Tamandua tetradactyla: one gene and its partners. The main gene of each other region encodes a partner of the protein of the gene in region 4 in a complex. Links are inferred from orthologs where the notes say so. Each region holds a gene or a part of one and is shown on either strand. Other genes may lie near its edges. The genes, in order: MED26, MED24, CCNC and MED8.

Region 1 (7,939 bases), on a different chromosome or scaffold from region 4:
AGAAGTGAAACATGCCCCAGAGCCTGCATTCTAGTCAAGAAGAGAGAGCTCGTACTTGAGTGAAACAACAGCTTTGGAGACACACCAATGCCCCATCACCTGCTGAGGACACTGGGCTCCGATGGCCAGTGGACACACTGTGGCTTCTGGGCAAGAGAACGACAGGACCCTCGACTCCATTCACAAGCAGGAATTAAGCTGGGACAAACTGCACGCTGCACGGCTGAACATTTTCAGCGCTCTAGGTTAACGCACAGCCCGAAAAGAATAAGGCTTCAACCGGTCTGAAAAACTGAGAACTGCTTTTTGAAAAAGAGTGCTGAGGATTTACTTTTTCTGAGTGGGCAGGAAAGTATTAACTCAGAGCCTGCTGCTGTAGAAATTCAAATACTCCAGAGGCTGGAATTTAGAACAAAAAACAACTTTCCTCATAGGAACTCATGAAGAAGGTAGTCAGGAAATGTTACTCTGTTAATTCTTGTTTCTTCCCCAGCCTTGCAGATACTTATGGATACTAGGTCAGCTGTCCAAGGTTGAATTTTCAAGCAAAATCTAAGTTTCTTAACCATAACTGTGTGTCCATAAAGGTAAACATTATATGACACAATTTTCATCACTTCTCACAGAAGAGGTTTAATTTTAGTGTGGGCTCTTCAACACTGTCCCCATTTTTTTTTCCTACACACATCTTAAATATGTGTCAACCACCTATCCAGAACTGAAATTCCTAATTGGGCAAGACAGCCACGTGGCAGCCATGCCGAGGCTGGGACCCCCGCTCCCGCCCATGTCCAGGCCAGCCGGGAGGTGCTGCAGGCCCATGGACACACCAGGCCTCCCCACCATCCCCTCAACCATCTCTCCAGGGCTGCGAAGTTTCTGCATGGGGCTCAGGCAAAGCCACATTGTGGTCGAACCCAGTCACTGATAACACTTAAAACAGCCACTTCCATCGAGTTTCATGGGTTCAGAGACACAACTCCCCAACCCCATCCATCACCCTAGGACTCAACCATGCTATGACCAGAGTCAAAATCTGAATTCCAAACCTCACAATGCAACCGCAGATCTGTATAAATATAATGTTTATGCATATGCCAAGGCACACGAAATTAAGGTTCACTCTTTCTCTCCGCCCCTCGTTAGCCCCTCTCCCTATACTCTCCCAATCTGTGCTGAACCCTTTAGATTAGAGCCTTACAAAACAGTGGGGCCCCTCCAAGGTCATGGGCACTGATGTGCAGCGTCATGGCCCACATGTCCTGAAGCACCTCCTGACCCTAAGCTCTCCTAGGTGGCATTAAGGGTCAGCGCTACCATTTTAGCAGCCCCTTCTCTCCCGAGAGAAGCAAGCACATGAAATTCAAGAAATTACACTCTGGCTTGACAAAAGATGCAAAACTCACCAAAGCTACATTTTTCATGTCACTTGTTTTTAATATTTCAGACTTAAGAACCGCAGTAGCATCAGTTACTGCAAAAAAGGACATTCTGGAAGGTTTTATATAGCTTGTGCCTACTCCACCCCCAAAGTCATAACAAAACCGTACACATTTGCTTGAGACAATTTATCAGCAAGTCAATCTTAATGGGACCTGAAAAAGAGGGATAAGAGAATGACTTAAGACACCAAAGTCAGAGCCTTACAAAGACCATAATCCCTCAACTTCTAGCAAAACTGCACAACTGAGTGTGAATTATTCCCAAACTACCAGACCAAAACACACTGCTGAGAAGAAGTGGCCAGAGTCACAAAAGAACAAGAACTCTTACAGGGGAGAAAACAGAGTTACTTGGCCAAGCCCAAGATGATTTTCCTTCCATCTCCAGCCTACCACACAGTAATCTCAATGGCCACTTCCTAGTCTGCCAGCAAACGCAGAAGTTCAGTGCATCCTCCCACTGCCCAACCTGCACCTGCTCCAGAGAGAAGTGCCCCCTCTGCCAATGTGCCTCGGGGAGCACAAGGAAGAGCACAGCAAGTCCCCCCACACCCCCCCCCACACACACACACGGAGTAGGGGGTTACCTCTGCAAAACAGTAGCCTCTGGGGAGGAGCAACAGAGAAAGTGACAATCCTGAGACAGAGGTCACAAATCACCGGGCTGGGACCCCCAGGTTGGGGGAAAGGGAGGGGACCATGAGAGAAAACCACCACCCCTAATTCACCCCCAAAAAGCAGAGCTCTGGCCAGGTCAGTCAGACCCAGGAAGGCCACAGGAAGAATCCCACCTTCCCCAAGATCATCTTCCCACAACAACAACCCGAGAGGGATCCCACAAAGGCAGGTCCAGTCACAAAACGGAAGGGGACTCTGCCAGGGCCTGGGCACCAGGCTAGGGGCAAAGCAAGGAGGGAGGGGAGGAGAGGATTCCTTCCGAAAACAAGAAGGTACTCCCAAGCGTGAGGAGAAAGGACTTCTCTGATCACCCAGAAGGCCGACACAGGGCAGACACGGGCACCCCGAGTCATGCCCAGGACACCAGTTGCACCCAGACTGCTTCCCTCTCATGCCCTCACAGGGAGGGCTTCTCGGGGGTCTCAGATCCCAGGGTGAAGGCGAGGCGGGTGAGCCGCGTCCAGAGCAGCGAGGGTCAGAGAGCTGGAGGAGGAGGAAAGGCCGAGCTCTGGCGTCAGCCCCCGTCTGCTCCCTCCGCCCAGGCCGCACGGAAGCCTCGGCCTCACGTACCGAGCGCCGCCGGGCTGCCCGATCTGTCCCTGGCCTGGGCTCAGGGGGGCGAGAGGCCGGGATGGCAGCGACCGTCCGGGGGAGGGGGGCGCCGGGCGGGTCCCCCGGGGCCGGGCGGGCGAGGGGCACGGGGGAGGGGGACGAGGAGGGTCCCAGGCCCACGCGGCCTCGGTCCCGGCCCGCGAGGTTGGTACTCACGTTGCTCTGGGGGTCGATGGCCTGCAGCAGCCGGTCCCTGATCTGCTGCGGAGACGCCGGAGCCGCTGTCATTGCCTGGGCGAGGCGGGGGGGAGCGGCAGGGCCGGCGGGCGGGCGGGCTGAGGCGGGGGCCGGGGGTCACTCACTCGCCGGCCCCCGGGAGCGGAGCCGCATGTTCCCTGCGGTGCCGGGGCACTGGGGACGCGCGGGGCGGCGGGGGAGGGGAACCGGGGCCGGGACTCGGGCCCGGGCCGCCGCCGCCGCCGCAGGAGGAGGAGGAGGAGCCGCCGGAGCCGCCGCCGACGCTGCCGCCGCCTCGAGAACCAAACTCCAGTGAGCTGCCCCCGCGCGGAGCACTGTGGGTAACCCGCGCCGTACGCAGCGTCGGCGCCACGCTGAGGAGGTTGGGAGATGGGGCGGGCGGAGACGCCGGGCCAGGGAGGGGCCGCGCGCTCCGCCCTGCCCTACGCGTCGGCGCACGCGCGCGCAGGCGCACTCGCCCGCCGCCTCGCCCCGCCCCGCCGGCCGGCCGAGGGAAGCCGTTGGGAGGCGGTTGGGCGGAGCAACGGCCACCGCCAGCAGGCCCCGCCCCCGCCCGGGCCGTCGGAAACGTTCGCGGCGTCCTGGCCGCTGCTCCTGAGGTGCCTGCGGCGGCGCCGGGCTCTGCCCGCCGAGCTGGGGGTGCACCAGCCTCTCAGAGCCCGGGCCGCGCCCCTGCGCCCCAGGCGGGGCTCTGCCACGCGGGCCGGGCGGGCTCTATGGAGCAGCACCGTGCCTCCGGCCACCGGCCGCCCCTTCCCCGCGCGGGACGGCCCAGACGGCTCCCGACGCTGCCCGAAGCGCCCCGAAGGAGGCTTAAAGGACCCCAGCGCCTGCCTCGCTGGGAGACGCCGGAGAACTGACGTCCTCGTTCCCCGGCCCACGCGTCACAAACGGGGCAGCTGAGGCCCAGGGTCGCCCAGCGGGCGCGGGCAGAGCGGCCCCGGGAGCCCGGGACGGCGGGAGGGAGGGCGGCCGCCTCGGCCGGCAGGAGCGCCGCGTCTGCGCGCGGGACGAGCCCCCAGCCCCCGCCGGCTCCGAGCGCCGCGCTCTGCGGGCCGGAGCTGGGCCTCCGGGGGTCGCCGGCCTCGCCCGCCAGCCCTGCCCGGGGTCCATTCCGCGTGCCTCTTCCTGGTTTCTAACTCAGATGAATAACAGCTTACACATGCATAGATAACGATAGTGCCGTAGAAGTAAACCTTTTATTTTGTGGGGTTCAAATTAAGAAATATTGGAGAATACAACTCACCTGCTCTTTTTAAACTAGGGAGAACCTTAACCGTGAACCTGCGTGAGGGCGCTGACCCGCCGCCCTATCCCCAGGGCACGTCGGAGACTCGGGTAGGTGAGTGAGCACGTCAGGAGCCCGTGACCGTGTGCATACCCACACACACGTGCACACCTTCGGTCCCACGGGCCTGGCGCAGCGAGACTCGATGAGTTTTTCGTGATGATTGTATAGATAAGACACGCGTGGATGCACACACGCACACACGGTTTTACTCCGCATTTAACATTTCACAGAGAAGGGGGAATAGATGAAATAAGACAGCCGCTGGACAGAAGTCCTGAAATGTCCGCTGCTTCTCCGAAGTTCAGGACGGACCTGCTTCAAGGAAGAGAGACTTCCAACGGCGCCTGTCAGTTATGCACAGGTGGGGCGTGATGTAAACCCTCTTCTGGTAATAGTTCTTCCCTGACCATGTGACCATTATTTAGGTACAGAGACCAGTGGCCCCAGTGTCCTGAGAGGACAAGATCTTTTGTGCTTGGAATGCCCCTGAAAGGGGGAGACGCCTCTTCAAGAGCAGCTCCAAGAAAGCAGAGCCCGTGGTTTGGAGTCCGTGACCGGCTAATGCCCTGGAAAGGTGGCTGTGGAGGAAGTTCCAGGAGCACGAACACAGGGCATCTGGAGACATACTTGGCAGGAGGGGACTGGGGCCCAAGCAGGAATCAGGAGATGCACGAGCAGAAGGGCACCCCGGCTGCCAGGGCTGCGCTGGCCCAGTCCTCAGCAGCGGTGCCACGTGTTGCCAGGAGCCATGGTAGGAGGGCACTCAATACTTCCCTCCTGCAGAGAGCAGGGCTGTGCCTCTCCAGACTCCCTCAGCCGGACCCTGGGAGCCCTGGGCTATTTAGAGGGGAAGTTACTGGACTTCCCCCAATAAGGCAAGGGAGGACACTGGTAACTAGTAGGAAAAATGTGCCAAAATATACTACCCCACCTTGACCCATGTCTGTGGCCTGACTTTAACAGAGTAGTTATCACTAGCAAGTAGAATGACAGGTGATTTTTACTTTTTCCTGTAATTCTATATTTTTTAGAACAAGCATGTACTGCCCCTATTCGTCTAGTATGTCAAGCGCTGGGACCAGCCCATGATCTCCAGGAGGTGTCACAGCTCTTACCACCTGAATCTGGCACTAATCAGAAAGCATGCCAATATAACCTCCAAAGTGGAGGTGATGGATTTGCTGTCAGGTTGACATCAATGAGTGTACACCTATATCCAAGCAGTTTGTGTCTTCCTTAGTGTGGAAGCCCCAATTGTGGGTCATTATTGTTAGTAATAAAGAAAATAAAAGCAAGGAGTAGCTTTTGTTAAGTACATATCAGGTTCTGCCCTGAGGACTTCACATGGGGTCCCCCAGGAAGCCCACTTCCCCGTATGCAGGCCCTGTGCCATCCACTCCCCTTGACACGGCTGGACCTGTGATTTGCTTTAGCCAAAAGAATGCAGTGGAAGCGATGCTCTGCTTGTTCCAGGCTAAAGCCATAAGAAGTTCTGGAAGTTACCACCTGACCCAGCAATCCAACTCCCAGGAATCCTACTCAAGAAACCTGAAAGCATCCACACACAGAGACTTGTATGCCAGTGCCTATAGCAGCATTAGTCACAATAGCCAAAAGGTGGAAGCAATCCAAATGACCATCAGCAGATGATGGACACACAAAACGTGGTCTGTCCATTCAATGGAGTATCAATTAACCATAAAATGGGGCCAAGTTCTGGTCATGCGATGACATGGATGAACTTTGAGGACATGACGCTGAGTGAAAGAAGCCAGACACTGAAGGACAAATATTGTATGCGTCCATTCAAACAAAAGATCCAGAACAGGCAACCACAGAGAACACAGATGAGAGGTTACCAGGGGCTTGGGGGAGTCAGGTGTGGAAAACACTGCTTACTTGGTGAGTGGTTTCCATTTGGGGTGATGAAAATGTTCTGGAATTAAGATTTTAATGAGTGTTGCACAATTCTGAACATACTAAAAGTCACTGAAATTACACTTTAAACGGGTAATTTTATGGTATGTGAATTATAAATTGTGAATTAAAAAAAGAGAAGGAGGCCTTGTCACACCAAGGTGCCTCGTGAGAATTCTGGAGAATTCTGGGGGGCCACATAGCAAGAGGGGGAGGCCTGGGCTTCTGTGGAGCAGAACCAAGGAACCAGCTGGCCACAGGGACTGAGCCGTCCTGCCTACAGAACCAAGCCTAAGCAAGGGCTGTTTTCAGCCACTTAATATTGGAGGATTTGTAACACAGCAATAGATAAACCAAAACACAGTTACGACCGCATCCTCCAGTTACAGGTGAGGAGAAGCCTGAGGTTTACAGGTTACTTAACATCCCAAATGCAGCTGGGATCCCATGGCAGATCTTTCTGAATCAAAACTGTGCTCTCTGGCCCAAAGGCTGTGCAACTCCTGCTCCCTCTCCTCTCGACTTCTCTTTTGTGATGTGTCTTGGGCATGTTCCTTTTGCCCCTCACCTGTGCTGTGCCTGGTCTCACCTGCTTGGCTTCCCCAAGCTGCTGCATGGTTGGCATCATCTTGCTCCTCTGTTCCCAGAGCTCAGCAGCCTTGCACCTTGCCATGTCCGAGCACTCTGTCTACCCTGTGAGGCCCTCTCAGCCACAACCACTGCCACTTTTCCGGATAGACTTCTATCTCACCACCCATCAGTAGGTTTTCTCTGCTCCTGTCTCGCTGGATACCCAATCATCCAACTAAGTGACTTGGATTCTGGATTTTGGATGGTGACTGCAATGGGCCAACATCTCAGCGTTCCCAGATGTCTTGGGAAAAACACAAACCAGTTAGAGGCACTCCCCAACCCCACCCCTGACAGCAGACACAGAGAGGGGCTAGGGGGCTGATGCTGAAAAACAGGAGATGCCACAAGGGTGGCGCAGACAGAAGCAAAAACTAGAAGAGCCTCAACTGGCCAGTGGAACTTCTCAAAACTGAAGGTGGGAATTGCATCCCAGTGTGAAAAACAATACGTTGGCAGGGAAGGTAAAGTGCTCCCACAGGTGTTCACATCAAACGCAGTTGGCTCTACATGGCTCAGGGACATGTGACCGGGGGGTTACCTGGCAAGTCGCTCCTGTCACGGAGAAGGCACTGGGTCCCAAAGGAAAGGGAGGACTTCTCAAGGCATGGGTCCACACCCCCGTGCGACTCCCCAATCTGCAGAGCTATAGAGGTGCAAAGTCTTTTCCTGTGTTTGCAGCAAGCTCATCCAGTGGCAGAGGTTATCTTCTTGACTTGGCAACACAGCATCGATGTTCCAACGGGCACATGTTTTGCTACAGAAATATTACAGGGATCATGGGCAATAAATAGGGGGGGTCCCAAGCTAGGACTCTAAACTCCAGAGAGTTCTAAGTTCTGCAATGCCTATGGTGCTCCAGCCTTCAGAAGAGGCCCTTCTGTAGGCTGGCAACTGCCAGGCCTTTCCTTACACCATCTCACCGAATCCTCGTTGGCAACCCCATGATGTGAGCCCAAAGAGTGGTCCCCTGAGCCCAAGATGGCCAGTTCCCTACATCTGAAGATTCCAGTGAGGGAAGCAGCAGTGTCGACAGAAGAGAAGAGTCCAGGCACCTGGGTTCACATCCAGCTCTGCCAATGACCCCCGATGACTCCAGTGGGCAGTGCCCAGCCCTAGCCTCGATTTTCTCGTGGAGAAAACGGGACAATGCAAGGACTCCTGGTGGCAA
Region 2 (6,886 bases), on a different chromosome or scaffold from region 4:
AACCAGCAATTCTATTTCTATAATAAAAAAATATTCCAAGACAGGCAGAAAGGTGAATATAAAGATGTTCAGTATAGTGCTATTTATAACAATAGAAAATTAAAAACAATCTAAATGCCCATCATTGGGGAACTTGCTAAATCACAGTACAGATGGAACATCATGCAGCATTTTAAGAAGAATAAGGTAGTTGGATGTGCACTAACATGGAAATGCACTAACAAGTAGACATAATGCCAAGCGGGAAAAGGATATGCAAGAACTTTGTATTCAGCATAAAGAAAAAACTAAACTACTGACATACGCAACAATATAGATGAATCTCCCAACACATTAAGTGAATCTCCCAACACATTAAGTGAAAGAAGACAGAGTATTCACATTTCTATGAAATACAAATATAGGCCAACAATAATCTATGGTAACAGAAATCATTTAGTGGTTGTGGGAGAAAGTAATGGACTGAAAGGGACACAAGAAAACTTTTTAGGAGAATGGAAATATCCTAGGTCTTATTTTTAGATGTTGGTAACATGGGTATATACAATTTTTAAAACTCATCCAATTGATTTTACCACAATAACATAAAAAAACTCATCAAATTGAACATAAGATCTGTGTATTTTATTGTATGTTAATTTAAAAATGCAAATCTTACCACAATTCCACTTAAAACCCTTTACGTGATTACCCATTATCCTAGGATAAAGTACAAACTCCTTAGTATCATTCACCAAGTCCTTTTTGACCTAACTGCTATCTTTCTCTCCAAACCAGTCTCCTTCTTGAACTTGATATTCTGGCCTAGAAGTTCTGAAGGTATGGTCCAGGGACCCCCAGGGGTTTCCCAGACCCTTTCAGGGGGTCCTAAAGGTCAAAACCCTTTTTTAAAATACTACTAAGATGTTATTTGCCCTTTTAACTCGCATTCCCTCACAACTGTACGGTGGAGTTTACCAGAGACTCCATAACATATATTATATAACAAAATGTGTCAACAATTGGAATACCTCTACAACTCAGTAACCTGTACTTTCTAAATGACCAATTCATGATATTACAAAATCACACATGAGCAGAGGATAATTCAAAGTGAGGTGAAGGGAGGGAAGAGCCCAATGTATTTTAATGTAACAGTATAAAGTTCATTGGTATGGTTTCACATCACCTACTAAATCTTAGTGTAGCTTCAAAGAATATACAAGTTGTCCAAAAAGCTTGTTAAAATACTCCCTTTTCTAACTAAATACCTATAAGTGTGAGGCCATATTTTCTTCTATACATTAACTAAGCAGCATATCATGACAACTGAGGCAGATGTGAGAATCCAACTGTTTTCTGTTAAGCCAGACATTGAAGAGACTTGCAAAAATGCAAAAACGTAAAACAATACCACTCACCTCACTAACATTTTTTGTTTTGGAAAATATGGTTATTTTTTAAAAAGATGTTATTTATATTGTTATATTTATATTGACCTGTAATTAATTTATTTTGTTACTTTTAAATGAATTCATTTTTTTAAGTTTCTCAATTTTAATTTCAAAAATGGTAAATATGGATAGATACAATAAACATAAACAAAAATTCTGTGGTGGGTTTCAATAATTTTTAAGAACGTAAAGCAGCCCCAAAACTAAAAAGTTTGAGAACCAGGGCTCTAGCCAAACCATACCAAACTATTTTCTGTTCTTAAACAACATCATATGATTTTTGCCTCTCAGTCTTTGCATATGCTTTTCTCTCCCCTTTGCATAGCCTCCTCAGTATGCTTAACTCCTATTCAATATTCAGGTCTTGGTTTAAATACCCCCTCCTTCAGAAAGCCTTCCCTGATTGCTGAGATTGGATTAGGTGCCTTCCCACATACTCCCGCAGCACTTCTTTAATAAACTCATCCTGTGACTGACAGTATTTACTGGTCTATATAACCCACTAAACGTGTGCTGTGGGTTGAGATCCTTTATCAGGTCTTGTCACAACTAAATCCCCAAGGCCTATCCATTGTCCAGCACATTATTTATTGACAGAATAGTGAATGCAATATTCATAACAACTAGTGAAGTATTACTATTTTCACGAGAAAACTGAGACTCAGAAAAGTGATCTGTTCAGACAAATTCACCTAGAAATGTGAGCTGACCATGGTATTGCAAGTTTTTTACCTCCAATCTCCCACTCCTTGAAGTAGGTAAGGCAGTTTACCTGGGAACTGATGGCGTACTTCAGGTAGGACAGGATGAGAGGGTTGGGGGAAGGTCCAATCATAGCCTGCTCCAGCAGTGCTTCTGCAAGGGGAAAAACAAAGACTGAGTGGTTACAATTTTTCTGGGTTCATCCCACCCTTCCTTCCTTCATATTTCACTTCAGACCTGCCAGGTTGAGAATATCCCAGGTGGCTCCTTTGGGGAAGAATTTCTTCATGTTGATTGCCCATTGGTAGTCACTCCATCGCTCTTTCCAGGCTTGTAAAATGGCTTGCTTCAGATTCACCACCTTCATAACTTCACTCTGAAGAGGCGCGGCCGCTAGCGGCCCCCTCCGAAGTAGGATAAACCGAGCTACAGAACAAGAGACGAAGTTCTTGAGGAAAATGAAGGGGAGGGCAGAGTTAAACGAAATAGACAAGACCAGGAAGATAGAAGGGACAGCAGGACTAGAAGGATAAAAGCGAAGGAGACAAAGTAGGGATCCTGTTAGGCTCTTCCCTCCCAACCTAACCTTTCTTGGACTGAGGCACTAGGAGTCAATACAAGAAGTAAAGCCAGAGCAGTAAGGGGTTCGGCCAGTTCCGGTTGTTTTAATTATACCCTTAGCTCCGACTGCGACCGTCACTCACTAGTACACCCAAAAGAGACACTTCATATGCCCCATCTTCCCCAGCCCCGAAACTGTAATTCACTGTTTCCTTTTCATCCATTAACTCCCCCAATTTAAACCTACCGGACAAGCCAGTTCAGAGCCCACATCGCGCCATTTTGGCACATGTCAAAGAGCTCGTTTCTCATTTGCTGGGAATAACAAGTATGAGCCAACAGGAATGCAGCAAGCGAAAGGCCCGCCGCGACGTCTGCTGGGAATTGTAGTTCCCGGGACTGGGAAATTCTTTGTCCGGGCTAGAGATGAAGCTGAGGACTAATCTAAAAGGCCTGCTTTGTTTCTCGCCTTTGAAGGAGAACTTCTAAGCTGGGCATCACAGAAACGTGGAGGGTGGGAGGCTCTCGAAAACTTGCCAGCAGTCAGGCGTCGCCCAACGACGTCACTGTCGACAGGGTATTTAAATCAGATTCCGCCACCTTTTCATCCCCCACTGGTTCATAGGCATAGTGGAGGTGTTAGTGTTCAGCAATAGGTTCCAACGCTTTCCTTATCTTTTTTTTTCCCTCTAAGCTCCTGGGTTACCAAAGTTTTCTCGTTTTCACGCCTGTATCCCAGAAGCGACACTGAAGTTCTGCTAGTTGCACTAACATACCCATTTCACCCCCCAAATCTGAGAGTCTTCAGAATCTCCTAACCCTCTATCTATACCCCTTAAATATAGGGGGTAAAGAGGAAAGGAAGATGGAAACGGAGATTAAGGTTATCAAAAACTAGAATTTTGAGGAATTGTCACAGCCAAGAGGGCCTAAGTTGATATGACTACTAAATGCAATGTGGCATCTTGGTTGTGATTCCGGAAGAGAAAAAGGGCAGTAAGTAAAAACTGAGAAAATCTGAATAAATCATGGATTTTAGTTACAAATAATGGATCCATATTTGTTCATTAATTGTAACAAATGTACTATATTAATGTAAGACTCAATAAAAGGGGATATGGGTGTAGGTTATGTGGGAACCTGCTGTACTATTTTTGCAATCTCTATATAAATCTAAAACTATTCTAAAATTAAAAGTTAATTATTATTTTTTTTAATTTTGATATCTCACTTATCTTAAGGAGTACTATTGTAGATAATTATGTCCAGCCCTTCTTTCCCAGCAGTGGGAAGGCCAAAAGCAAATGCCACGCACCCTGTAAACAGCCTTCAGCCTTGCCTTATCCTATGGACAAGACTGTCCCTAACATCTCCAACTAGGAACTAGAGTAAACATGTAGACCCCCAGTCAGTGGTCTGTCACCCCTCTTTCCTGCCCACTATCCCATACCTTGAGGAGGCAATCATCCAAGCTCTATCCAAACTTCCCAACAGCCATCCTTTAGCTCCCCTTAGGCAAAAATCACTTCCCTGGAGGATGAATCTGGGGGAGCTCTTTCTTTGGCTGTCCATTCCTTCTCAGCTCTGATAGTGGCTGTGTTCTCACCTCTGCTTCCCTAGCCCTGAGCCCCAACTTCCTCATCTTGTTGGCTTGACTGGCGGGGGAATGGATCTGGCTGGAGAAGAGGGGACAGCAAGGCAGAATAACATGGCAACATCTGGAGCAATGGCAGAAAAGGAGCTTGATCAAAGTGGGGGTGGGATGGGGGAAAAGGCTGTGAGGCCCAGGGATTTGGGATATCCAAGGGAAAGGAAACACTTTAGGCTAGTAGAGAAAAGAACCAAGTGTCTAGCCCCAAAAGCCCAAGAAAGATTGAAATACTTGGCAAGCATACAAGGCACAGAGGGTTTCATTTACTTTCATTCCATCGGAAAACTGCCATTACCCTCCCCTAACAGGAACATCTTTCTTTAGAAGCTTGCCTGGGTCTCACCACTATAGGAAGTTAATTGGCAGCAGGTGGAGGGAAGAGAAAACGAGTCCATCCCACACACTTATATACACAGCTGGCTCCAAACCATTTTCCTTCCCCCATCAGTTCCCAAATCCAAATCACAGCTTTCCAGCTATCTGGGAGAAAAGATGAGGGTGGAGGGGCCTAAAAGGTGGCTCCATCTCAAGGACAGCCCCTGAATTCCCCACAATTCCCTGTCCCTGACTTCCCACAAGAAGTCCAGAAAGAGACTGGCCAGGACAGTGAAAGGCAGAATTTGAACTAATCATGAATTGTTTCCTCTCTAACACCCTGGAGGACACCTTCTCCCTCCACGCCCCCAGCACACAGGGGGAGAGTGATAGGGAAGGGGGGCCAGTCTGCTACTTTCTTTGCACCACCCCTCCCTCCAGGCCCTTGTAACTCTTCTTCTTAAACTCTGCCTCAACACCAAAGTGATTCATCTTCACCTTCAACTCTTGTAGCAGGGATGCAGACCCTGATGGAAATAGAGACCTCCCCGCCACTTCTTTCTTCTGCTGGCAAAGGGAAGGATAAGGGAGCTCTCTGGGAAAGCAAAAACAGAAGTTGGGAAAGTTTGGGGGATCCAATATCTGGAACATATTAAACACTCAAAAAATATGTTCAGTGAATGAATACAGGGGGATAAATCTGAAAGGCAGCCTTGAGAAATTATCTTCTTTTTCCACTTCTCACCTCAGCTAGGGAAAAAACAAGGCTCAGCAAGACCCAAATCCCTTCCCTGGGCACCTCTTCATGAGCCAGGACCAGGGTGCCTGATGGGACAAAGGTGATTGAAAGGGGGGAATTAAGTGTAAAGTTGTGACTTTCCTCTTGTCTGCGTGATTGCTTGCTAATTTCCCAGTCCTTCATCTTTGTTGGACCTTTGATTCTCAACTCCACATAACTGTTTCGACCTTTCCCTCTCCCTCTCCTCTCCATTTCCATCATCTCTTCTTGATTTGGAGAACACTAATGGAGAGAGACATCTGGGTTTGGGGTTCTCTTAGCTGATGGTGTCTCATTTCCAGAGCACCCCAATGAGTGGGGCTGTGTCTGTGGAGCCAAAGGGTATCTGCTGTACACCTCCTTACCACATGTTGACATCACCCAGAGCCTAAGAGGTTCAAGCGAGATGGGAAGGGGTGGAGGAGGGAAATCGCCAAGGCCAGGGCCACAGAGCTCGTTCCAGGGCTGACTGGCAGAGGGCCTGTCCCTGCTCCCCTAAACTGCTTGGGATGTGCAAGGCTTCTTGGCAGGGATGAGGACACTGTGTGCGGGCTTGGATGCCAGTTTTGGGGAGAAGCTTTGAGAAGGATATCTGGACCCCCTGGTTCCTAGGGGTGGGACCCTCAAGAAATCTTGGGGTGCTTCCTAGCAACAGCTGAAAGGAAGGGAGGGAGGAAAGAAGGGAGGAAGAGAGGGAGGAGTCTGGGCATGCTGTTTCAGTGGGAGCCCAGAGAACAGGCTGTTCCTGCTGCCTCCTTGGCAACCAAAATCTAAGAGGGAGGGGGCTGTCAGACAAATCCCCTTTGAGGGTCCCTATCTATTCTCACTCATTTTCCACCCTCCCTCTCTCCCCACAGACCCAGGGCTTGCTGTGAAGCGAAGTAGGGGGATGGGAGGGGATGGTGCCAATGGAGACCTGGTGTGAGGTTCATGGCCAGTAGAGAACAGGAGCTGGGACTGAACAGAATCTGAGAAGAGCTGGAAGCTTCAAGAAACTGGGAGTGGGTAAGAGAGTGGGGTTGGGAAGGGGGATAGTGCAACCAGGGGCAGGGGCTGTAAACCCAACCTGGGCTGGCTCCTGGCACCTGGCAAGATGCCTGCTTTGGAGGCAGTGTGTCCTTCACCTTGCCTTTGCCTAAGTCTGCCACCAGCCCATATTGGGAGCCAAGGAGAGAGAGAGAAGTAAGAAGAAAAGATGGGAATGGTGAGTTCTTTGTGTTTGAGTTCAAGATGCCCTACATTGCCCCTGAGATGGGGGGGGGGGGGCAAGGGGGAAAGGTAACTCAGGAATTGCTTCCTTTCTACAGCTCTGGCTCTAGGATTTAAAAATGTCTCCTTTACCCAACATCTTTAGGAACTGGCTCAAAGAGAGATGTGGTAAGCAAGCCAGGATGGAATAAAGACAAAGCCACAGCCCTTCTTCTTCTCCCTCTAGACCCCTTTATT
Region 3 (7,500 bases), on a different chromosome or scaffold from region 4:
CTTACCCCTGTATTCTGATCCACTTTTTCCCAACCTGATTGGCTTCATTCTTATCTCTAACTGAAGCCTGATCTCTTTTTCAATTTACTTAACCATTGTTGTATGTGGCAATGCTGATTTTCACATCACAGAACTCCTTTCCTGAGTCTTAGTTGTTACACAGGTACTGAAAGTTCTAGGGAAATACCATGTTATACATATACATAGCACAGCCTCTCAAAATCTAAAAATAACAATTTTCTTATAACTGTTTTCTAAATGAAACCATACAATATTTGCTCTTTTGTTTCTGACTTATTTTGCATCACATAATGTCCCCCAGGCTCATTCACATTGTTGCATACCTCATAACTTCATTCCTTTCTGCAGCAGTACAATATTTGATCATAGGTTTACAGCATAGTTTACAATTCCATTCTCAGTGTATCCTTCAGCCACCTCCATCCATTGGGCATCATGTATAATGTCTAAAGTCAACAGTCCATCTCTTGCATTGTCATCACGTACTGGTATGATCATCAACAGTTTCAACTTTGGACAATTTCCATTGCTACCAAGAGAAAAATAACCAATAAACACACTCTCACCAAACAGAAAATCCAAACCTCCCCTTAACTCTTGTCCTTCCCCCCCCCCCCCACCAAATATTTACCCCTGGTATTGCTGTGTACTGTTGATGTCTTCCTGTTAAATATAGCCTATAACATGCAATAGTAGTTTTCCTGATATTATAAACTTTTTGTACAAGATTCATACCTCTGCAGTAGTTCATGCAAAAACTTATTTATATTTGTAGTGTTAATTGGTGGGATACATGGCTCTATCCAACCTTTTTCAATCACGTTCACCTTCAATATGGCAATATCACTTACAGACCCACTTATGAACAGCCTTCACTACTATCCATTCCCTTACATTTAAGTTCAACCTCACCAGCTAACTGTTCACCCATCTCTAGCTTCCATGTATCTCTAGGTCCCCTATATTCTGTATTATAAGCCTCTGAGTTTACCTTTATCAAGGTCATAACAGTGAAATCACACATTAACTATGCTTCTGTGTCTGGCTTCTTTCATTAGCATTATGTCCTCAGGCTCATCCATCTGGTCAGGTGCTTCAGGACATCATTTTGTTTTACTGCTGTATAAATATTCCATTGTATGTATATACCACATTTTGTTCATCCATTAATCTGTTGATGGGCACTTGGATTGTTTCCATGCTTTGGCAATTGTGAACAATGCTGCTATGAACATTGGTGTGCAAATGTCTGTTTGTGTCAGTGCTTTCAGTTGCCAGGTCATAGGGCAACTCGGTATTTCATTTTTTAAGGAGCCACCAAATGGTAGATCCTTTTTATAATTTCTATATTTTTATCAAATTTTTCCTTTGCTTCATTTATCATTTTCCTGAATTCTTTTAGTTCCTTTTTCATATTTTCCTTTAGCTCATTGAACTTATTGAGGATAGCTGACAACATATTTTTGGTAGTAGTTCCAATATCTGAACTTCTCAGGAATGGCTTCTATCACTCTATTCTATTTCTTTGAATGAGCTACCTTTTCCTGTTTCTTTTATGTCTTCTGATTTCTCATTGTAATCTGGAGTTGAACTTTTAATGTGCTAACTCTGGAAATCAGAGTTATTCTCCCCTTTTTCTAGGTTTTTTTTTTCCTCTTATTAATACTGAAGGCTGTAGTATTATGTGTTTAGGGATTTTTTTCCAAACCATGCAAAAATTATATTCTTTGACATGTAAAGTCATTGAAATCTCTGTTCCTTTAGCTTATATTCAGCTTGTGGAAATATGGAGATTTTCTTACATAAGGGAGCCAAGAAAACAAAAGAAATAACAGAAAAATACACCTCACCCAGTCTTTGCAGATTGCTTTCATGCTGGGACTCTCTTTCAACACTCAGCCAACTTTGCCCTGAATCTAAAGAAGAGTCTGAGGAAGATGCTTTGGGTCCTGTCAGGTTTTTCTGAGCACGTATCTAGCCCTGTGAGTGTGCAGGGCCTTGTACATCCCCCCATATAAATGGACACTTCAAATGTCCTTCTTTCCCAGGAAATCCTTCGCATCCTTTCCTCCCAGGCCCAGAAGCTCAATTGTTTATCTCATCTGCATAATATTTTGCCTCAAGCAGACGTGCTTTGATTTTCTTAAAGTGTTTCAGTGGCTATGCCTGCTGCTTCTCCATCTAGATTGAGTTCTGGGTGAGACAGAGAAGAGCACCAGTCTTTCAGGCTGCCATCCAACACCATAGAATAGACATATATACACCCTAATCTGTGAATAAGAACAGAATCAAGTGGTAGTCCAGTGACAGAAACAAAGTCTAATAGGAGCCTAAAGATTAATAATACTGATAAATAATATATTATTAATATTTTTTTGGTGATGCCAGGCCAAGGAAAAAACTCTAAGATATTTGAAGAAATGCTGCAACCTTTTTGAAGCAGCCTATGGTCTGGTGTTTCTTAAACCAGTGTCTTACAAAATTTTTTACTATGATCCACAGTGTAGCAGACAGTAATGTTCATCACATATACTACATGATCCTTTACATTTCTCAGCCTCCTTTGCAGTTAAATTGGAGTCATGTGCCTATTCTGGTCAATGAGCTGTTGGAGGAAGTGACTGTGTTGTTTTTGATTAAAGGTTGCATACTTTCTTTAGATAGATTATAAGCCTGAAAGCAAAGAATGTCAAGATGGAGGAGTTGTGCATGGGACATGACTCTCAGGGGTGTGGACCTTCCTGGCAACGTGGGACAGAAATCTTAGAATGAGGTGGGACTCAGCATCCAAGAATTGAGAAAAACCCTAGAATGAGCTGAGACTCAGCATCAAGGGATTGAGAAAATCTTCTCCACCAAAAGGAGGAAGAGTGAAATGAGACAAAGTGTCCATGGTTGAGAGATTCCAAACAGAGTTGAGAGGTTATCCTGGAGGTTATTCTTACGCATTAAGTAGATATCACCCTGTTATTCAAGATGTAATGGAGAGTCTGGAGGGAAGTGCCTGAAAATGTAGAGCTGTGTTCAAGTAGCCATGTTTCTTGTAGATGATCGTATAATGATATAGCTTTCACAACGTGACTGTGTAATTGTGAAAACCTTGTGTCTGATGCTCCTATTATCTACCTTGTCAACAGACGAGTAGAACACATGGAATATAAATAAAATAAATAATAGGGGGAGCAAATGTTAAAATAAATTTAGTTTGAAATGCTAGTGATCAATGAAAGGGAGGGGTAAGGGGTATGGGATGTATAAATTTTTTTTCTGTTTTCATTTTATTTCTTTTTCTGAATAGATGCAAATGTTCTAAGAAATGATCATGATGATGAGTATGCAACTATGTGATGATATTGTGAATTACTGATTATATATGTAGAACGGAATGATCAAAAAAGGAATGTTTGCATTTGCTTGGTGTTTTTTGGTATTTAAAAAAATAAAAAATAAAATAAAATAAAAAGATGGAACAGCTGTAAGATAGAAACAGACTAGTTCCCTGAAGATCTGGAGGACTCCACCAAGAAGGGCAAGCTCACTCACTTTATGGAAGTCACATATAAAAAGAGACTTTATGGAAGTCACATATAAAATACTTTTATGTTAAATCATTGAGCTAAAGGGGGAAGGATGTTACCACATTTTAGCCTGGTCTAGTTTATCCAGACTAACTCACACAGTAATATATGCATTTCACATCTTGGAGCACTACATATGTCTATACATAATTGAATAAAAAATTGTAAAATGACAATTATCTTTCTTATTTCTGACATACTGTGAGCATTTCTATTCTACTTAATTTAAAAAAGTGTGTGCCACATTCACTAAAATAATTTCACATCTTATTTGTTCTCACGCTGTGGGAAAAATGTCTAAGTTGCCTCGGAAAACTGGTCTTCTATGAACAACTTCCAGGTGTGTCCAATTATTTAGAAAAATAATTAGTTTTGAAATAAATGCAATGTTACAATGATAATAGAAAAGGAAAATAAAGAAACATGATTTTATTTCATCTTATAAAATATTGCATTTTTTTTGCAGTATTTCTCTTTAATGCACATATATATGAAAATGTTTGGGGATGTTCTGCAAAACTGGTGGGTCTCAGGTATAAGAAGAAAACACTTGCTCTAAAAGTTTGCTCTTTTATCACTCCAAGAATTCCACTAAGAACGCATGGGGTTTGATGCCCGCGGGTCTTAGTAGGTCCGTGAAGCCAAAACAAAATTCATTTATTTCTCTTTTCAATCCCGCGGGGGATTAAAATCTAGTTAGAAAATTACCGTGCTTTATTACAATAACATCGAGAGGTCCTGTAGGCTTTGGATATAAACTAACCAATCAGAGCTAGACGCTTCTCCCACGTTAGCCTAGCAGAAGCGCCAACCTTACAGGCTTTAGGCCCGAATCTATGAAGCTCTCGCGAGAGCCTTCCGTCCGCCGTGACCCTTCGTAAGCACCAATACCAACTCCGGCGCGGCCACATGTCGTCTCCTCCCCGCCGGTTTCCTCCGCTACCATGGGGCGGGCCGGAACTTTTGTCCTTAGGAACGCGTTTACGCAGCAGCGTGTTGTCGGCCGGCATCTATGAGAACAAGGTGCCGTCCTCTTCCTCTTGCCGTAGCCGCCGCGGAGCGGAGCCGAGCTGATCAGATAGAAGAGTGCGGTTACCCGGCGGGCTGGGTCTATGGTCGCTCCGCGGGCCGCTCCGCCGGCTGGTGTTTTTTTATCAGGGCAAGCTGTGTTCCATGGCTGGGAACTTTTGGCAGAGCTCCCACTAGTAAGTGTTCTCGGTTTTCCCGCCCAGGGTCCGCTTTTGGAGGGCGATGAGGATGGGGCCTGCCACTTCTCGCAGCCTGGATCCCGGTTCTTGGCCCAAGCGCGGCAAGGTCTTCCCGAGAGGTGGCAGCGGCCGGAAGCGGGATTCGCTTTTCAGAGGCTACTCTCCTCTCCCCGCCCCCTGACCGGGTTTTGGGGGAAGGATCTGTGAGCTGAAGAATGGGTCTAGGAGCGATCCCCGGAAAGCATGGTTAGGAGTGTAATTTAAGGTTGTTGGATTAGCTAGGCCCGTGGGGATAGGATGGTATGAGCACATGTATGGAAAGTGTGTTTCAGTTCTGGACTGTGAATCTGGCTCCTCAGGATAGGTGATGCTCGCTTTTGCTTGGAAACTCTCAGAGAATGGGACAGTCGTTATCCCTCTTCTCTTGAGTGGATTTAATAATACTCCAAGGAGAGGAGGGAGTCCAGTTTGTTTCTGCTCGTTAATTGATTCCTGCCACTACTCTATGCCTAGATGGAGTTTTATGCTGGTAAGGTATAGGGCAGGTGCTCTGAAACTGTATCTGTTTCTTTAGTCTGTCTTGTATTTTGTTTTATAAATATATTTTCCAGTGATTTTATATGCCGATTTCATTAACCTTTTTCATGAGTAGGTTTTTGTTTCTGTCAGCGACCATTGGAAGAGCTAGAGTAGTATTTAAAACATTTCTCTCTGAATACATTTGTTTAAGCAGGTAGGAAGATGGATGATGGACTTATTAAACATTGATTAGACTTTCCATGTGTAGGTGAAAGATGAACCGAACCCGATAAAGAAAAATGTATCTTAGAGTAAGTAATTTTTAGTACTTAGCATTAGGAACTGTAACTTTAAGATTCTGTGACTAATATCAGTTCTTTTTGTTCATTTCCCTCTCCCCCCTTTTTTTGGCCCTTTACAGAGGGGGAAAAAAGGAACAATGGGCTTGGAAAACTGTTTTCAGAAAAGCAGGTTTTTCTCTTATCCTAAAGCGATTGGAGATGAAATGTTGTAAGAGCTACACTTCTGATTGTTGCCATTTTTATTTTGTGTTTTCCACTCGCTGAAATAATTGCTTGGGCAAAGTTAAAATATAGAAAGTTTAGTCTACTAAACTTTGTAGACTTTGAAGAAAGCTGAAAGAACTGTTGATTGTGAAAAGTTAGAGCAGTTTTTCAACTTAAAAAAGTAGATCCTGCCCCCTTTTTTGATATGCATTCTTAATATGATTTTATTTGCTGTTGTCCTTATTAAAACAATCGTTTTTTACTTCTCGGATGCAAAATTATAATGTGAAATGTGCTTTTTAAAAACCGTACCTACCTCCCAATTCAGTATTCCTGGGGGAAGGAACCTCTTTACCTCACTCAACTCCCTTAAGAATCATGGAGTCCCTGATCTGCAAAAGGTGACAAGTATGAAAGACAAGACAATCAAGTCTGGAAAAACAGGATTATGATAAGTCACTGCTTTAGGTACACAGCAAAGATTTTGGTGAAAGAGGAAAGTTGACATGCATCTCTGAAATCAGCATGGCAATTTTTTTAGTAGCACATGAAATAATGCTGAGTCTTACAATGAATGGAATCCTTGATTTGAAGAAATACAGTATTTATTAATTTGTTTTTTCCTCCCTTTAAAGTGCTGAGGGGAAAACTTTTTAAAGATTTTGTGAAATTTATCTCATAAAAGGACTTTGTGGAGATAAAATTAATGATAATCCCAGAATAGAGCACATCACATTCTACTCCAGAAAATTTAAGTAGAGCAAAACACATCTTCTGATGATACGGCTGTGAAACTGGCACTAAATAAATGTTTGCTGGTTGCTCAAATAAATGAAATGAGCAGGTAACAAAAATAACCAAATTTGGTTACTTTATTGTATCAAAAAGTAAACTGAAAATACAGTTACATTGTATCTAGAAAATAACATGAGATCAGTATATATCCATATCTATGGAACATAGCCAAAACTGAACTTTACAAGAAAATTAACATCCTGAATAAAAATAAGCCAAATACTCTATTTAAGATTATTAAAAATAAAATTGACATATAAACCTAAGGAAAACAGAAAGAAGGACTTAACACATACTAGTGTATTGAAAAGGGGAAAAGAGGTCAGATTTTAAGAGCTGGTTCTTTTAAAGGGAAAACTAAAACAGTAGACCAGAAACTATTGCTAGATGTATCAAGGAGAAAAAAGAATGTTCTAAAAATACAAAATGACATTTAATAAAATTTAGCATGTATTCTTGATTAAATTTCTTACTAAAACAGAAATAGGATGCTTCCTTAATATGATTAAAACAGCAAAGCATCAGCAAGAGATAGTTTAATGGTGAAACATTAGCAAAATTAGGGTACCTATTCAACATTCTGCAAATGCTAGTCAATGCAGTTAATAAAATGAGATAAAAACAAAATTATATTTAGAGATAATTAATTGGAAAACTGAGTTCATTGAAAGTTGTTAGAGACAGTACAGATTTCAGGTGATCAGTTACAAAACAAACTTAAAGGCTTTTTACTAAATAAATGATAGAAAAATGTCAGTCACAGTAGCAACAGAAAATATAAAGTACTTAAGAAAAAACTAATGTACAAGACCTATAGAAAGTTTGAACTTTAATATTATTTTTTTAAGTATTTGATGTTGTATGTCTGAAATA
Region 4 (7,380 bases):
ATCATATTATTACAAGTTCTCCAAAGGAAAAGAATGAAGTTCTATGATGGCATGTAACAGAGTAACCTAACCCAGGGCAGGGTCTGAGGAAAAGTGACCTGAAGGTTGAGCATGGGTTGCTAAATGAAGAGGGAAAGGGTATTTAAATGAGCACTGTACTATTAGAAAACTTTTTTCAGATTGCAAATTTTTAGTTAGTAGGTCACTCCATTCTACTACCATACATCTTCCATTTTTCCACTTTGTCTCAAAAGTTATTTAGAATGATGAACTGACTGTCCAAGGTCAAACAAACTGAAGTCTAGTTCATAAATCAGTTCTATAGAATCTACCCTCTTGAAGCCAAGAGCATTTGTCTAACGCAAGCTTTCTAGCAACATTCTCCCTTCTACATTATCCTTCAAAATTCAACAACTATATTTTTCAAACATAATCCCTAAGTTCCCTTTATATTTAAGATGTAATTTATCAGAACCAGAAAACTTAAGAACTAATTTTAAAGCACCTAGAATGGCATTTTTCATTCTTGGGCTTATTAAAAATGCACATTCTTAGGCACCATCCCAGACCAGCTGAATTAGTTGATGGGGCTCAGGAATCTGCATTTTAGCAAGTTCCCCAAGTGATTCCTTCATATTAATGTGTGAGAAGCCCTAAATTAGCTGTGTTCTCACTCCATCCACATTCGTGTGCAGTTTCAAATCCCCAATATTTAATACTCCTTGAGTTCAAAATGCATTACTCTTAGAGCAGTCTGACAAAGAAGACAAAGTAGGGTTTTTGGGGTGTGAGATTTGGATTCAAATCTGGTTTTATTATTTGCTATAATAGGTGACTTTGAACAAGTTACTTAATGTTTCCAGGCCTCACTTTCTTCACTGATAAATGTGGGCCAGAACATTTACCTTGTAAGGATGTTGTTGCAATGAAAGGGGAGTCAGAATAATGATAAAAGAAGCCTATTGGGTCACGGTGGCTCAGCAGGTAAGAATGCTTGCCTGCCATGCCTGAGGACCCGGGTTCGATTCCCAGTGCCTGCCCATGTGTTAAAAAAAAAAAAAGACGACTATCATCCTTTGGGGCATTTATTAAGGCCGACATATCATTAATACCAGGATGAATACCACACTGTCAGGAACTGTGTTGTATACCATGTGCACCAGGATGAATGAAACCTTGCCCATCTCATTAGTTTGTTGTTTTTTTGTATTCCCCCCTATATGATTAAGGTCAATTAGTAGTAGTAGTAGTAGTAGTAGTGGTAGTATTTTGTATGCTGTATGGTGGGGGTAACGTTTCATTCTTTTTCCATGTGACTATCCTTTTATTGCAGCACCATTTGTTGATTTTTTTTGGGGGGGGATGCATATATGGGGAATCAAACCCGGGTCTCCTGCATGGCAGAGAAGAATGATCAATTATTTTTTTGAACTTTTTCCAACCTTTGTGCTATCTTCTGTTAATAGACTCCCATTGAAATAAGGTAGTTTTTTTCTTTTGAATTGTTTGAAGCCTCCTTGCCATTATATTTACGCCAAAGTCCTGAATCTCCAGCACAGAGTCAAAGGAATCTTCTCCAATCTCAGCCTCATTTCTCACCAATACACCTCCCACTCCTGTCCCCAGGTTAAGACCATGCACTCTAGTGCTAGAGCACATAGGATCAAATGCTGGTTCTGCTGTCTATTAGCTGCACGACTTGATAAGAGTTATTTAAAATGCTCATGCTTCAATTTCCTCATCAGTGAAATAGGGAAAATAGTACCTATCTCCTGGGTTTGTTAAACTGGGAATTAAAAGATACTTAGTAAGCACTCAATAAGTGTTAGCTATTTTCATTGTCACATTGTATCCATGCTAACAGCTGTTTCCTCTCAGTTCCCTGAAAGCTCCAAGCTTCTTCGCCATTCCCTTTACTGGTAGTGCTCCCTAAACTTTCTCATAGGCAACTTCCACCCATTAACTTTCTCATAGGCAACTTTCACCCATCCTCAGGCTTCAGTTTAAATGTCATTCCTCCAAGAGGTCTTCCCTGAATCCCACCCCCTACTTAACAGAGTAGTTAAGAGGCCCTATTAAACATTCTCATTCACTCTGTATTTTTCCTTTGCAGTGCTTATTATAATTCAGTATGTGTTTACTCCATAAAGATAGGAAATATTTCTGTTTTATGCAGTTGTATCCATCCTGATACCTAGCACAATTCTGAGTCTATAGCAGCACTCATGAAATATTTTAAGTCTTTGATGAATGAATGATTTTCTAAATCTAGGGCATCTCTCTGACTATGCCCAATCATCCTCTCAGGACCATAACAACCTCTAAAAGTCAGTCACATTTTTTATGCCCAGGGGCAGCTCTCTTCATTTCCTTTACCTTCTAAGATAAAATTTTCAGAAACTCAAATCAAGAATTCAACAAATGCCTAACTTTTGGCTGAATGGAAACTCCCAGGAATGTGTGTCTTAACACCAAGTTACTTTAGACCTGCACTGTTCAATACAGCAGCCACTAGTCATATGGAACTACTGAGCATTAGAAATATGGCTAGTCCAAACTGAGATAGATGTGCTATAAGTTTAAAACACAAACTGGATTTTGAAGACTTGGTACAAAAAAAGAATGTTAAACATCTCTTAATTTTTTATATTGATTATATGTTCACATGGTAATATTCTGGAAATAATGAGTTAAATGAAACACATTATTAAAATTACTTTCACCTGCTTTTTACCTTTTTATGCAGCTACTAGAAAATTTAAAATTATGCCTGTCGTTTGCATATGTCTTTTGGACACTGCTGCTTTATTAGATTGTCTGCCTAAAAAGATATGCTGTATCTCCCCACTATATCCCTCCATTTCCTCTCATTCGAATCCATCCCTAAATGCAGTCCAAATTGTCCCATGGTTTCTCTTATCATTATTATTTTTGAAGCATATGTGGGTTACTTCACCATCCCAGTGAACATGTCAGATTCTTTTGAATAAGGCATAATTTCTATAGTCAGTCTCATCCATCTCCCAGTGAGCCAGAGATCTACCATACAGGGATTACAATTTATTGTTACAAACATTATGGTTAACACAGGATCTAGACTTAAGCCACCTGATTTTGAGTCCTGCTCCTGGCTCACCATTTGCTACGCAACTTTGTTACTTTTATATCTCTGTGCCTCAGTTTCTTCAAATATAAAAATGGGGATTATATTTAATCCAAATATAAAAATGGGGATTTTATGAAAAAGCTACTTCATATACAGTTGAAAGAATTAATTGATTTGTAAAGTGCTTAGAATAGTGCCAGGCATACAGTAAGTATTCAATAAATTAATGACTACATTTATATTATTACACACATCCCAGCCCCTTCCCACCTACTAGTACAATCGCTTGTAAAACTCAGCACTTTTCCTGGTGTGGTTCTTTCCATATCTAAGAATTCATGCTAAGTATTATTCTAACGCCAAAATCTTCTACTACCCAGGTGAATCGTACTGGAGCAAGGTAGTTAACCGTTCTCACTGCTCAGTTTCCTTATCTGTAAATGAGAATAGATATCGTCACGTTCCACGCACAAGTACTGAGTGACAAAATGTATATAAGTTCCTTGTATAATAATCCTTAGCATCTAGTAAATACTTCAAACGCATTTTCTGGTGTAACCCATCTGATCCTCGCAACGCCACATAAGGTAGATACTTTACAAAGAAGGAAACAGGATATGGGAAGATAAGACTGGCCCGAGGTTGCTAAATGGCAAGGCTAATATTGGAACGCAGTCTTATTCGACTCAAATGTTCTTTCACACAAAGCAGAACTACTTTTCCAAAAACCATGAGTGCTAGAATTATATTAATTTATTTGCTTATGGCAGTACAACTTTTAAAGAAATGCAGACACCGGCAAAGTAAGCCTACTATCGTGTTGTCACTGAAAAAAAAACACTAGAAGTTCAAACCACGGGCTTTGTTAATACCACTAATAGAATAAAGAGCCCTAAAAGCATTAGACCGGCGACGCTGATGAAATTTCAGTTAAAAAAAGCACAAAAATTTCGCCTCGAGACCCCGGGAAAGCTGCAGACCGCGGTGAAACGGTTCCGTTGTCAGGCCTTCCGGGGTTGGGCTGGTCCCTGCCAAGGAATACGCTGCCGGGCCACCCCCAGGCCCCGAGGAGACCACGACAGCGCCTGTCCGCCGAACCCTCCCACTCGGATCCAGGGATCCAGCGCTGGGCCCGCCCGCCCCTACCTCCGGCTCCGGGTGCTCCGAGGCCATCACACAACCCTCCCTCGACTGGGAACGCCGGTCCACCCTCGACCCCTGACCCGGCTACTCTACCCGCGACAGGATCCGGAAGTGAGTGGGAGGGCTGAGTCCCAAGTTTCCTGATTGGTGAATGAAGCCCTTCCAGAGAGGCTCGCGGAGTTGGAAACCGGAAGAAGAAGTCGGTGCAGCCGCTACTGCCATCGCCATGCAGGTGAGAACTAGGTTGGTCCTGTTGACAGCCGGCGAACTTCGGTTACTGTAACCGAAAATGGGCTGGCTGAGGAGAGAGTGTGGAGTTCGCTGTGTGAGGCGGGGGCAGGGTCGGTTGCTGATGAGTAAGGGAACGCGGCATGGGGGACCAGGCAGACCACTAAGATAAGTGGGCGGTGCAGATGAGAGATGGGGTGGGGCCCGGCTGATAGGAGAGAGACTGCTGCTAAATTCAGAGGGAGGAGATAGCACTGACTTGTTTGGGTGTAGGAATGAATTAATTTGTAATGAAGAGTCAGAGATGCAGTCCAGAGAAGACTTCTCAAGAAATGGTGTGTTGACGCAGACCCTAGCCTAGGTTGAAATGGAGGCTGTTCTCTGTAAAGAAAACTGGAGAAAAGCCCGAGGGGGAAAGGAATTGTGGGGAAGCCAAGCCATTTATAACCGAGGCCGTGGCATCAATCCAGCATCAAGGCTCTTGTCAGGCATATTAGCGGGTTTGCAGGACGGTTTTGCATTATTTTTCCTAGGCGGTTGATTGTTAAGGGTGAAGAAATGGAGTAAAATAGGATGCCACAGATGGAAAGAAAACGCTTCGCAGACCCCAAGCGTTTAAAATTGCTCATCTAGTGCTTAGAAGCTGGTCATTTGTGGAGTTTCATTAGTCATTTAGTTTCTTGCACCTGGTAGTCTTTTAGTAAATGTTTTTAGGTTGAGTGAGCTTATGAAAGAAGCATAGGGATGCTGGCATATAAATAAACAAAATGAATGTAAATTGATTCAGCAAGAAGGAGTTTGAAAGCAAATAAAGAACTGTGTTGGAGGTGAAGCTTATGGGCAGGGCTGCTGTTCAGAGAATGCATCAAGTGTAGGCAGATTTCCCAGGGATGTGGTCAGTGTTAAGAACAGCTTACAAGGCAGATTGTTGGTTAAAGGAAGTTGATGTACATGTGTACAGAAGGCAATGAGTCCCACGGAGAATAGAGTACCTATTACGTAGGAAAACCAGGCATGGATTAGGAGGTGATGAGAGAAAGGAATCAGATGGTAGGAGGATTTGTGGTAAGGTGAATAGGTTGAAAGTTCTAAGGGTTGATGGCATCTGTAACCAAAATACCAAAGACAGAAAACAACCTGGCTCATCTCTGTTACCTCACCAGGTATTGTCATGTCTTCATCTGTGTATGTTGACATAGTACATCAATCTGGGTAGCCAGCTTTTTTTTTTTATTAATGCAGAGGGAAGAGAAACAACTTGAGGCATCATTAGATGCACTGCTGAGTCAAGCAGCTGATCTGAAGAACTCACTGGGGAGTTTCATTTATAAGTTGGAGAACGAGTATGACCGGCTGACCTGGTAAGAGTTGCCAAGGTAGGCTGGGGAGGGCTGTTTAGTAAGTGTGGAACTGGGCCTTCTGACAGGTAGGTCAACTCTGATGCTGTAATCATTTATCAGTTTGGAAACATCTTTTGATTTGTGAAGAGCTGGGTTTCCCAACATTTAACATTTGGAGTTTGGTTTAGGGCCTCAGTGGCAAGGAAATAAAGAGATGTCCTGTTTCCCAACCCAGGTTCTTGCTAGGTTTTGATTCTTACCCTCTATCTTTTCTGATTAGGAGCTTCTCTCTCAGCCTGTCCACTTTAGCTCTATTCATGCTGGACCCGTTGCCACAAACTGTGGCTGGGTCTTTTAGGTCCAGTCTTCTCTGGAAGTGTGGATCCTGTTCCAGGCTGAAAAAGCAGCTTTTACCAAGTTTCTGAGTTTTTAGCGATAGTAGTGAAGTTGTCGTTTCTATTTTGCCACTGTTCCTCAGCCCATTCATACAATGAACTGTCTTTTACCTACATCTTTGTCAGAAATTGAAACTGTGTCCCTCTTTCCTACATCCCTGTGAGCCAGTCTGGCTACTGCCCAAAATCAGTCATAGGGCCGTGAGTCTCTTTGGGATGAGCCTGGATATTCCTAGTCTGAATAGGGGCTACTTAGAGGCTACTTTACTGGAAACTACCTGAGGGAAGGAGGGGAACTTTCTAATACTTTCTTACTACCCCCAGGCCTTCTGTCCTGGACAGTTTTGCCTTGCTCTCTGGACAGTTGAACACTCTAAACAAGGTCTTAAAGCATGAAAAAACACCACTGTTCCGTAACCAGGTCATCATCCCTCTGTTGTTGTCCCCAGACCGAGATGAAGATCTTATGGTAAGAGGAGGAGAAAGGTACACTTTCGAAATTAAGTTCTTGATTGAGAGCCATGAACATAATTGTTGAATAGTTATAGAAGTTCTGAATATGGAATAAAGAGTGGCAATAAAAAGTGTGGGCTGGAGATGACTCCCAGGGATGAGTTCAACCCTGTACCATGGGATCAACAATTCCATCCTGACCAAAAGGGGGAAAGAAGTGTAACTAATAAAGTATCAGTGGCTGGGAGAGTTCAAATAGAGTTGAGAGGCTACTCTGAAGGTTGCTCTTACACAGGCTTCAGTTAGACATTGCTACCTATCATAACTTGCCAAACCCCAACCAAACCATTCCAGCCAATCTTAAAGAACACTTAGGGCAAAATATAAGATCCTACAAAGATTCCGTGCACTAGGGTAACTTTCCAGAAAACTACAACCTCCGGATGGGTCCCTGGACCAGATAACTCCTGAAACCTAGAAGGCCCAGCCTGGCCAGAACATCAGCTAGTTCCATCACCCTACTCCATATTACTGACAGCCCCTTCTAGCATGAAAGATTTAGCATGACCGTAGCCAATACCCTTAATGTGTAGGATAGAAAGATCAAAGGTGATGGTGGAGTAATACAGAGAAGGTAGGGTTTAACGTACAGAAATGATTGCTGAATCATTAAATTGATATTGTTTTAGTCTCCAGTATCTTATAGCAGCTAGAA

What was found.
Region 1: MED8 (region 4) and MED26 share a complex: the UniProt entries of both Homo sapiens proteins name them as parts of the mediator complex. The link is inferred for Tamandua tetradactyla from reciprocal best matches to the Homo sapiens genes MED8 and MED26.
Region 2: MED8 (region 4) and MED24 share a complex: the UniProt entries of both Homo sapiens proteins name them as parts of the mediator complex. The link is inferred for Tamandua tetradactyla from reciprocal best matches to the Homo sapiens genes MED8 and MED24.
Region 3: MED8 (region 4) and CCNC share a complex: the UniProt entries of both Homo sapiens proteins name them as parts of the mediator complex. The link is inferred for Tamandua tetradactyla from reciprocal best matches to the Homo sapiens genes MED8 and CCNC.

What each region holds. Positions count from the first base shown.
Region 1 is NC_135337.1:95,127,185-95,135,123, forward strand, and holds the start of MED26 (mediator of RNA polymerase II transcription subunit 26), read right to left. Parts: upstream 3,003-7,939; 5' UTR 2,961-3,002; coding exon 2,889-2,960; intron 1-2,888. UniProt on the Homo sapiens protein: Component of the Mediator complex, a coactivator involved in the regulated transcription of nearly all RNA polymerase II-dependent genes.
Region 2 is NC_135332.1:27,219,989-27,226,874, reverse strand, and holds the start of MED24 (mediator of RNA polymerase II transcription subunit 24), read right to left. Parts: upstream 3,008-6,886; 5' UTR 2,944-3,007; intron 2,931-2,943; exon of another isoform or gene 2,840-2,930; intron 2,584-2,839; 5' UTR 2,503-2,583; coding exon 2,373-2,502; intron 2,289-2,372; coding exon 2,206-2,288; intron 1-2,205. UniProt on the Homo sapiens protein: Component of the Mediator complex, a coactivator involved in the regulated transcription of nearly all RNA polymerase II-dependent genes.
Region 3 is NC_135331.1:157,138,837-157,146,336, reverse strand, and holds the start of CCNC (cyclin-C), read left to right. Parts: upstream 1-4,489; 5' UTR 4,490-4,772; coding exon 4,773-4,804; intron 4,805-5,607; exon of another isoform or gene 5,608-5,637; intron 5,638-7,500. UniProt on the Homo sapiens protein: Component of the Mediator complex, a coactivator involved in regulated gene transcription of nearly all RNA polymerase II-dependent genes.
Region 4 is NC_135328.1:180,670,997-180,678,376, forward strand, and holds the start of MED8 (mediator of RNA polymerase II transcription subunit 8), read left to right. Parts: upstream 1-4,373; 5' UTR 4,374-4,400; coding exon 4,401-4,481; intron 4,482-5,719; coding exon 5,720-5,838; intron 5,839-6,536; coding exon 6,537-6,681; coding exon of another isoform or gene 6,682-6,698; intron 6,699-7,380. Other genes in the region: KICSTOR complex protein SZT2, read right to left, coding at 4,253-4,279. UniProt on the Homo sapiens protein: Component of the Mediator complex, a coactivator involved in the regulated transcription of nearly all RNA polymerase II-dependent genes.